2 separate regions of the Mus musculus genome follow, and region 2 is reported to be linked to region 1. The links are microRNA targets in miRTarBase. Many come from high-throughput screens and were not tested one by one. Region 1 holds a microRNA gene; the other region holds the end of a gene's coding sequence.

Region 1 (5,384 bases):
ATGCCAAGAGTGGGGGAAACAGTCGTCCCCAAGGAAGAACACACCAACTGATTATCCAATATCAAATGGTCAGCCCTGCCTGAAAACATCAGAAAAGCAAGATTATATAGACACAGTAGATTGTTTAGAAATTATGTATGTAAGAACAATTAATGAAAAAAGTGAGCAATAATTTGAAAAAGAGTGAGAAGAGGTTTATGGGAGGGTTTGTACAGAGGAAAGGAAATGGGAAAGTAAAATGATTATAATCGCAACAAATAAAAGGAATCATTTAAAAGACTGGTGTAACCGAAACACTATTTAACACAATATGAATGTCATTAAAATGGAGTATATCTAAATTATGATATTCAATAATTTTAAAAGTTCAACACACCTTTCAATAAAAAGACTGAAATTTGTAGCTACTATTAGTAACAACCAATGTTTACAAATGTTTTCTTAGAACTCTAGTGGCTTCAAAGAGTTAAATGATGCTGACATCCTACCAACTACAAAGACTTCTACTATACCCTTCCTTCTAATAAACTACATGGTACAGATATAGGTAGATACCATGTCCAATATTATACTAGCCTCCCAATAAAGGTTTTTCTAGATCAGAGCAAGAGTTACTCTAGGCATGTGTGGTGGTTTGAATATGTTTGACCAAAGGAGTGGCATCATTAGGGGGTATGGCCTTGTTGGAGGAGGTGTGGCCATGTTGGAGGAAGTCTGTCACTGTGCTGGTGGGCTTTGAGAACCTACTCTAACCATGTGGGAGCCCGTTTTCTAGCTGCCTTCAGATGAAGATGTAGAACTCTCAGCTCCTCCTGCACCATGCCTGCCTGGATGCTGCCATACTCTTGCCTTGATGATAATGCACTAAACCTCGGAACCTGTAAGCCAGCTCCAATTAAATGTTCTTTTAAGAGTTGCCTTGGTCATGGTGTCTGTTCATAGCAGTAGAACCCTAAGACAGCATGATTTAGATGGATCACCAATCAAGGATTAACAAAAATCTTTTCAAAGTTATAAATGAATCTAGTATATTAGAATGTACATTGACAGAATCCAATCTTGTAGAAATAATCTGACTTTGAAACATTCCCACGCTGTCTACTCTAAAGTAAACATCTGTCAACAAGAGAGCAATCAGAAAGAAAAGGCTTGCTGTGTATGAAAGAATGAGATGTATGTCTAGGGGAAAGGATTTATAACGTGTATGGGTTTGTTCCTAGTAAATCTGGAAGCTCCCAATAACAGTGAAATATAACACAAGAGAACTACCTGTAAAATGTAGTACATAAAAGAAATGAGGACAGACAAGGGAATGGTAGAACTGAATGACATCTTGAAAAAGGAGGAGAAACGGAGGGCACTACTATGGTAAAGATAAGGCAGATTCAAAGTGACAGATTAACATAAAAATCAAATGAGATGAATGTAAAAATTCTTCAAATTATTTACTATCCAAAAAGTACTATGAAAAGAAAAAAAAACCCAACAATGTGCTTAATTAGTGGAATCTCCAACACTGATAATTTAGGAATCATGAGTAGTATATGGAAAACAAACAGAGATGTAACTACTAGTTTAGACACACATTTTATTATAGTACTGTTTAAAACATACTGGGTTGGATAAACTGAATAGGAATTCAGTTTGTTAAGGTCCAAAAGAATAAACACTAATAGTTTCTATACTGTTAGACCTGTAAGTAAGACTGTAAATTTACTTCAGAATTTTTAATGAAAACACAAGTTTCATTGTTACTAATCTGTTGGAGATTAGTCATTTTCTTTCTTATAAAGCTATTAGTCCTTCTAGTGCTTCTGTGTATTACCCAAGGGGAAAAGTTGAGGCATGATTAGATCAGAGTTGTAATCTTATGTTTCTATTCAGTAAAAAGACCACGCAGAAATGCTCAGCATACTTCTTAACCCCTCTGCTGATCTCTAACTATCCTAAATACAGACATTCACTTGCTATCCCTCAGGTTAGCTTGGCTGTACTTTGTGAGAAGTTGGTATAAAGCAAGCTGCAACTCTCCTAAAGGGTGAAAGTGTATGGGCTTTGTGAACATTATTTTCCTCACTGTCCCAAAGCGCATGCACTTTACTCTTGTAGGAGCAAGGCATCTATCTATCTATCTATCTATCTATCTATCTATCTATCTATCTATCTATCTATCTATCTATATCTCATATCAATTGATTTTCACAGTTGCTCAAAGTCCAAGTTTTAATAAATTGTTACTAACTACTATCTACCTCCGTTATTCAAAATCTGAATGTATCCGTTTTATAAACTAATGGGAAACTTATTTATTGATAACAGCTCTGAATTTTGAAGAAAGTTAATGTCATTTGTAAATAAGTATGAAGAAATAAATAGCATGGCTCTATTTGGGATACAAAGTGAGTTATTGCTGGGAAAAATTTTTTTTGGATGGCTTTCAAAATAGGCTAATGTCAAGTATGAAAGAATAATTCAAGGTCAATAGTGATTAGACTAATTTTTGGCAAAATTTAAAAATATATTCTGATCAGTATAAAGACAGTGTTCATATGGGTATTAATGATTCTACTTCTAATTTGGCTCAAATAGGTCCTGGTGAAGAGCAGAGAATATACTAAAATGATGGCTTAAGGATAATTGTTAATACAGAAAACATTTAACAATTACACTGCTATAAAAGGATTTTCAGTATTTCTCTAAGTATTATTTTATTTTATGCCTATGAGTGTTTTGCCTTCAAGCATGTAAGTTTACCCTGTGAGTGCCTGATACCTGAAGAAGTCACAAGAGGACACTGGATCCCCTCTTTATGGATGGTGTGGAGCCAACATATGGATGCTGAAAATTAAACCTGGGTCCTAACTGCTAAGCTACCTCTCCAGCTCCTTAACAAAGATATTTTGATGGAATCTTGCCAAAGGATCTTTTTAATTCATCCTTCATCTATGCAGTAAGTGTATGGGTTTTAAGAAGACTCATTTTCAAGGCATATACTACCTCTGATATACTACTAGCTTATCACTATTTTTCATCAAATTTACATTAGCAGTCATTTTACATGTTATCTTTAACCTTTGCATGCGTATGATTCAACTATGATATAACTAACATGTAGGAGGAGTAAATATATCACAATCAGAATTCAATTATCTTTCTGCTAGGTAACTGCTGATCACTATAATTAAAGCCAGAGTCAGTCCTGTCATTAACAATGAAGCCATTAGATAATAGCCTATGCTGAAGTCCCAGATGCAGGGTTAAGGAATACAGTAGGCTATATATGTTCCCTGACCCCAAAAAGCAGTTTTTAGAATAGAATTAATCATCTCCCCATAAAAGCCACAGAACTGTCAAATTCACAATCATTTGTTCAAAGCAATTCCCTTATTGATAGCATATTAAAATACAAAACAAAATAACACAAATTCCAAAAGAAATTCAATTCACAAAACCAGTGGGAAGAAAGCTGATTAGTTGTTACAATCAATATACATGCAATGACTGTAACTAAGTGTTGAATAAAGTATATGTAATAGCTAATATTACTATATAATATGATTAATTTCTGCAAATGAACATCAAATTGCAGTTGACAGCACAAACTTTGTGTTAGAATTGTAGATACCTAGTGAATGTATCTCAGCTGAAAGCGTCTGTGTGTGAGGAGCTTCTGCACACAGCTGACAGTGTGAAGCACTCACTCCAGCGCAATCTGACTTTCTGGTGTAAGCAGGTAAGTAGCTTAATTTTGTTTTCAAAACCTAGAAATGGTGCTATATTGGAAGCATGATAGAGAGAAAAAGAACTGTACATATCTTTTCTTTAAATCAAGAAAATGATGGGGATTATTTTCAGGAAAATTCTGCTTTGTATAATTAATAGATTTTTATTTCTGCAGGTAAAGAGATTAAATGACATAAGTAACCTGCCATCCCCAAACCAATGTGGTTTTGGCAAGAAAACAAAGAAAAGCTAATATGAATGAGAAATCTGGACATAAACAGTGCTGTTTGCTCTTGAGCTTTAAAATTAAACGTAAATTTTGAAAAAGATATTTTCCAGTGTATAATTAAGTAACAGTAGTCTGTCTGGTAACTTATGATACAATAGGAATCTCTGAAGATCACTTTACCTTTCAACCTTTTCAAGTACACAGGAACATCACTTTTAATGCTCTTGGAATCCTCCTCTGTTCTTTCCCACACCATTTGAGGAGGGTTGTTTTGGGCTAGCCAGTCAGCTACTTTATTTTCTGGTGCCATCATTCCTGTCTGAATTCCTGGCAAGTCTTGAGTTCCTGGAGAGGCCTTCTTTGACTTGTGGCGCTGGTCAGAAGTGAATTTTGTCACATGGTCTCTAATAGTTACTTTTCCTGGCGTACTGTCATCAAATTCAATGGTAAATGAAGCATGCCCTGCACCTGCTGTATGGGAACTTGGTGTGTCTTTTGTTGGAATCTCATGAATAGTGCTCTCTGCTATTTGTGATGGCTGCTGGAATTCTTTTGTAGGAATTTCAAAATAACTTGGCTCCCTACAGAAGGGAAAAAGTGCTTCTTCACTTGCAGCCGCAGACTGTCCCTCCACGTGCTTGGCCTCTGTGCTGCACCCTAATGAGGAAAAGGAGAGAGAATTCAAAATATTTGGAAGCCTGAAGCATGAGGGTCATTGGTAATGACCATTACTATTCTGAGAATCAGAAGGCAGATTAACAGCCTGGATGAAAAGAATTGCACTCGTATGTTAGACAGATGTAACAGACAAGGAACGGTCTTGACTATGATCAGGAGATGCAAGGTGAACAGCAGCAATGCCAAAAAAAAGCAAAGCAGGAAAACTCAAGGTGAGAAAGAATTAAAGTATGGATGGAGATGCTCTGTACATATACACACACTGTTTGATAGAAAAAGCATGAATAGCCTCAACACGTCACCGAATGGGCTATTTGAAACATTTGTGAATAATGTAGGGCTCTAATAGTGAAGAGGTAGTCAGGTGAAGATGGAGATATGAAATTAATACATAAGCGATGCTTTGGAATTAACAATTCCACTTACCAGTCTCAATTATAATGTTCAGAGCCCACTCTAGGACAAAACTGATATTATGGAAGCTTGGGAGATGACACACATTATTAGGTGAAAGTGGTTAGTGATAAAACGTGTGGCTTGCTTGCAGCAATGGCCATCTAAGCAGCAGTATGAAAGAAACAATGCAAGAACAGAAAATTCTGTTGTCAGCCAGTAAGTCTGGAAGAGACTTAGTTTACAGCTCTGCACAGCAGAGTGTGTACAAAACCCAAAGGACGTGGGTGAAAGCTGCATAGCAACCAGTGAGTGGCAAGGGGGACAAACACAGAGCACTGTGACAATTCCTCCATTGCTT
Region 2 (5,384 bases), not on the chromosome of region 1:
GTGAATTATTTCCTGAAGTTGTGGAGGTAAGAAGGCAAAAGTGGGAACTTAGTTTTGTCTTCCTTTATGTTAAAAACACTTTCAGATATAATTGTTTCCAAAGAGAAGCTGTGTTTGTGTGCTTACTGCTGTGTTCCTGTAGGTGTTGTAGTGGGATTGCAGGCCCTCCTTGTTGCTGGAGGATGTAGAAGGCTCAGTACTGGTCATGCTTCCAGATGCACACACTATTGGGTGACAGAGCTAGCTCTTCTCCAGGACCCTATAGTGCGGGAAAGACAGCTTAGGGATGTGGGAGAGACTCTGAGGAACATACACAAGTGTCCACACAGAGGCATGCTTGCTGATCAGTGGCCATCCCTCAAGAGATCTGCCACCAGTAGCCAGGGGGTGCATCAGTTGCCTCCTGCAAGGGCTGGGCATGTACTGTGGGCTGGAAGGTGGTGTAGCTTTTGGTAGCTCGTTACTCGACTCGGGCACAGAGGAATGATGTTGACACCTTGCTTGCTTTCTTTACCTGTAAAATGGGATGCAAAGCTATGCTCATGCAGAGGCATGGGGAACTGTGTTCTGGGTGGTAGATCTGAGCTTGTAAAAACTTGAGTTCTGCTCCCAAATGGACAGGTTAAGACAACTGAGGGTTTTTTTGTTTTTCTCTCAGGAAATTAAACAGAAACAGAAAGCACAAGATGAACTAAGTAACAGGCCCCAGAATCTTCCTTTGCCAGACGTGGTTCCTGATGGGGAGCTGCACCGTGGCCAGCATGGGATCCAGCTCCTCAATGGGCACGCACCCGCTGCTGGCCCCAACCTCGCTGGGCTCCCACAGGCCAACAGGCATCACGGACTCCTGGGCGGCGCGTTGGCGAACTTGTTTGTTATAGTTGGGTTTGCAGCCTTCGCCTACACGGTCAAGTACGTGCTGAGAAGCATAGCACAGGAGTGAGGGTCACAAGCCACAGCCTACAGTTGCTGCCGAGGGACACAGGGCCAGAGCTTGATGCCGGCGTGAAGGACGTGCTGGCACAGGGTGGCCTGCCGGACTCCCGGGCTTCACTTTTTACAAACCTTAAAGAGAAAGCAAAAACCAAAATGTGATCTGGAGGAGACTGGTGGTTCTCAACTCCCTCTTGAGGTTGACTGGACGGAGCCACTCGCGCTCTGGTTTTACTGCTTATCTCCTGTGTTGTCTTTTGACCCTGTTTAGTAAACCTGTTTTGTTGGTTTTGTTTTGTTTTGTTTTTCATTTTATTAGATTTGGTCACTTAAAATATAAAACTTTAATGCCTATCAAATACTCTGTGTGTGTTCTTAGTGGAGGAGCTGAAAGCCTCCTGGTGGGGCTAAGTGGGCCGGCTGGTCTAGGAGAGGACTGATTTGATCTCATTGTAAAATTGCTTCTGAGTGAGAGAAGACTCACACAAAGTGCCGGTTCTGCTTTCTGTTAAGGTAGAAGCAGCAGCTTGCTCTCTGACCACAAAGTGCTGCACTTAGAACCGTGGCTGAGGACTGTGGTGAAGGACTGTGGGTAGCCCAGGTACTGCTGTCAACCTTAGTACCTCTGCTTTCAGCTCCCTTGAGTGATGGAGAAGTAGGAGCCTTGGTAACCCTGGTTCCTTATGTCCAGTTGGCCAGAAGCCGGCCCTCCTATGTTGGCAGACAGTGCACTCCAAGTTCTTTCATATCTTACGGTAGGCTACACCATCCTTTCCGGGTGACCTATGTAAGATGTCGCTCTCTACAGATCATGGAGAGGGAAACTGCCCAGAACACGTCACCAGGCCACCAGTAAGCTGGCAAGCTCCCTTATGGATGTCATCTCTTTGAGATTTTGCTTAATGTACCTGCAGTAGTTGTTTGGGAAGGCTAACATCGTCTGTGTTGGGCATCAATCATCACCAGGGGCTCCTAAAAGCCTTCTAAGCCCACCTCCTTTCAGGGGCCATGGTAAAGCTGAAGTGCTCCCATGTGATGATTACCTGTAATTCAGCTCTGTGGTTTACAACTAGTATGTATATACCATGTAGTCCTCTCCTAAAACGGTCTTTAGTTACCCCTTTGCTCTGAACTCCACGATGTCTGTGTTAATGTCCCTTCCCTGGTAGGCTGTGACCAAGTGCAATGCCTGGCTTGTGAGAAGGGAATGTTGCAGCTGCCAAAAGGTAGATTGACAACCCTTGGTTGGGCCTGTGCAACCTGTGCAGCCTTCGGTGGGTGGAGCCCTACAGACATGTGCTTCCTACTATTGGTAGATGGTAATTTTTCCCTGGTCCCAGAGTGCTCCGTTGCAAATTACCTCAATTCCAAATTGGTGTTTCCTGAAGTTCTTGAAAGACAGAACATTATCGAATTTAGTCCTCTGAAATCTCAGCACCACCCCCAGCCCCCTGGCCCCAGCATGGCCTTTATGGGAGTTTAGGGATTTCAAGACAGGGTTTCTCTGTGTGTCCCCAGCTGTCCTAGAACTCACTCTATAAATCAAGCTGTCCTTCATCTCAGATCCACGTGCCTTTGCCTCCCAAGAGCTAGGATTCAAGGTGTGGGCCTCCATTGCCCAACTGAAAGCTCAACTTTGATTTTAAAAAATTTTTAAGATTTATTTATTTTATTATATGTAAGTACACTAGCTGTCTTCAGACACTTCAGAAGAGGGTGTCAGATGGTTGTGAACCACCATGTGGTTGCTGGGATTTGAACTCAGGACCTCTGGAAGAGCAGTCAGTACTCTTAACCACTGAGCCATCTCACCAGCCCTTTTTTAAAATTTTTAATTGGTTATTTTGTTTATTTACATTTCAATTGTTATCCCCCTTCCCGGTTTTCTCTCCAAAGAACCCCCATCCCATCCTCCTGCCTCCATGAGGGTGCTCCCCCACCCAGTCCTGCCCCACCACCCTACTGCCCTTCACTGGGGCATCAAGCCTTCACAGGACCAAACTCTTAACAGCTCAGAAGGAAAGAAAATTTTAGGAAGTGCTTGTTCTTAGGGTAGAAGTAAAAAGCAGCCTGCTCTCTGGCCACAAGGTGTCGCACTTAGTGTACGACTGAAGAGTGCTGTGCCGGCTTGGCAGGTTAGCCCCAACACTTCTCCCAGCTTTGAGTGCTACAGGACCCTAGAGTGTCCACTGTGTGTTCCGTGCTCTGACCCCCGAATAAAAGGTGGCCTTTTTAACCATTGGCTCAAGCATGCCTGCCTTGTTGACTTGTCTTGGGAGAGGTCACTGACTGGGGCAGTTGGCATCCAGGACTGCCCTCTATTAGCTCTTCCTTAGGAGGTGAAAACCTCTCCTAAAGCTCACATTCTGTTGTTATTCAAAGAAAGGGGTACCTTGGAAGGGAACTTTCCCACTTGGCCACTTCTGTTCTTCCCTGAGAAAAAGAGCTCTCAGATAGTCTTTGGGAGTTTTTTTCCTTAAATTTTTTATTTCAATGCATTTAATAATCAAACATTAATGGGTATTTTGAGAGTCAAATAATACATAAAAAATTTTGTTCAACTTTCATATCCTTTCATCCTAAAAATATCATTAATGAACATTTAATACTATCCATAACTGAGGATCCTATATTTAATATTGAATACTAAATTGTTTCAAAACATACAAAATATTCTTTGGGAATTAAGCATAGTATTAGAGCATAAAATATTAAAATTGAATCATTAAGAGATATATTCAAAAGCCCTTATACCACCTGGCATAGTAAGAGAGTATTAAAAATGCCTTATATATCTGTGTACATTGTCTTAACTATAAGTTTACTTAAAAAAGAATATCAGTGTTTCTAGGAGAGATTATTTTATCAGTAAGTATATTTTTAAAATTTCAAAATAGTGAAAACTCTTCGAAGTTAAACATTAAGAAAATGCTAATTTCAAGCACAGTGAGAAAAATTATCAGTAATATTTCCATTTTGTTTGTAGAACATGATTTTAATATTTTCAACAAACAATTATTTTAAGATATAGTTCATTGTTATGTGTCCCTTTTCATTTCTGATTTTATTAGTTTGGATACTGTCTTTGTGCCCTCTGGTTAGTCTGGCTAAGGGTTTATCTGTCTTGTTGATTTTCTCAAAGAACCAGCTCCTGGTTTTGTTGATTCTTTGTGCAGTTCTTTTTGTTTCTATTTGGTTGATTACAGCCCTGAGTTTGATTGTTTCCTGCCTCTTCTCCACTTGGTGTTTGCTTCTTTTTGTTCTAGAGCTTTCAGGTGTGCTGTCAAGGTGTCAAGCTCTCTCAGGAATTTTTTTTTTTTTTAAACAGGGCCTCATGTAACTCAGGCTGGACTTTAATTCTCTGTCTGCCTCCTAGGTGCTATTATTTTAGGCCGGAGTAGCCTTTGCATCTATAGTGAGCCACCGGTTCCTGTTTTCTCCAGGGCTTGGATGAGAGCCAATAGCAGATGCTCCTAGGGGCCACTTTGGTCAGGGTATTTGTGATCCAGTGTAGGATCCTCTTGGTTATTTTCCAAGTTGTTTGTGGCAGGGAGATATTGAAGCTGGAAAACTGGAAACTTGAGTCCATCCCTAGCCACAACATGAGGTCCCTGCCTACTGTGGTATTTCTGTGACAGGGTAAGTCTAGCCTACCTGCTTATAAACTGCCTGAAAGACAGCTGCGGAATCCCACTTCCAGATAGGCCACCGAGGTATAAGTGGACCAAAGGAACAGGGTGCTGCATCTTTGAAGAGGTCTCTGGGCTGAGGCACTTGCCCTCCCCGAACCTGAGACTTGAACTTGGGGCATAGAGGCTGTCTTTCTTGGCATATATAACACATGGATACACACACGCACGCACGCACGGTACTTCCCTTTACGTTCTGCTCTATCCCTGCTTGATTTGTTAGGCTTCTCTGACTGGGTGTGGCCTGGAGCTGGGACGGCTTGCTTGGTCACCTTTCACTCTTTTTTGGAGTGAGAATTGAGGGCCACTATTGTAGAACATTGCGTTCTGTTTACCAGGACCCATACCTACTGGGACCAACCAGCGTGTGTTAGGGATGCAGCTCCAGTCCCTTCATAGAGCAGTTGGAACCACACCTGGCTGTTTGTAGCCACGGCTTTTACCAGTTGGAGGCTATCTGGCTACTGGGAATCCTGGACCAGTCTCAAGGGCCACTACCTCGTAATCACTGAGCTCAAGGTACTCATTGGCTTGGCTTGTCCTTAGCTAGCCCAACTTTGATCTTGAAGGGCCTTTCTCTGGGGACCTGACACTGTCACTCACGAGGACTGGGGGGGTGTGGGGGGGGAATTGTATTGGTCAGAGATGTACAGGGACCAGTTCCCCCTTGAAGTGTAGCCTGGGCCTGTGCTAACCTCTTAGAAGACAGGCCTAGGGGGCTGACAGTGGAGTTACAGACTATAGAAGTTGGCCCTATGTCTG

The links. The annotated mature microRNA mmu-miR-350-3p reads UUCACAAAGCCCAUACACUUUC and lies in region 1 at 2,041-2,062, opposite strand. An mRNA with a match to its seed (bases 2 to 7 or 8) in the 3' UTR can be bound and repressed. Matches are read on the target gene's strand: a 7mer-m8 pairs with bases 2 to 8, a 7mer-A1 pairs with bases 2 to 7 and ends in A, and an 8mer does both.
Region 2: miRTarBase lists Ube2j2 as a target of mmu-miR-350-3p. Seed matches in the 3' UTR shown: 7mer-A1 at 2,661-2,667.

What each region holds. Positions count from the first base shown.
Region 1 is chr1:176,770,302-176,775,685 of GRCm38, forward strand. It overlaps Mir350 (microRNA 350), which reads right to left and starts at 2,122; the gene lies at 2,024-2,122. It overlaps Cep170 (centrosomal protein 170), which reads right to left. Exons shown (of 20, transcript NM_001099637.2): 8 at 4,133-4,609.
Region 2 is chr4:155,956,423-155,961,806 of GRCm38, forward strand. It overlaps Ube2j2 (ubiquitin-conjugating enzyme E2J 2), which reads left to right. Exons shown (of 8, transcript NM_021402.6): 7 at 1-26; 8 at 659-3,182. The coding sequence ends at 943. Among named protein-coding and RNA genes, the nearest start is that of C1qtnf12, 3.2 kb to the right of the region's middle.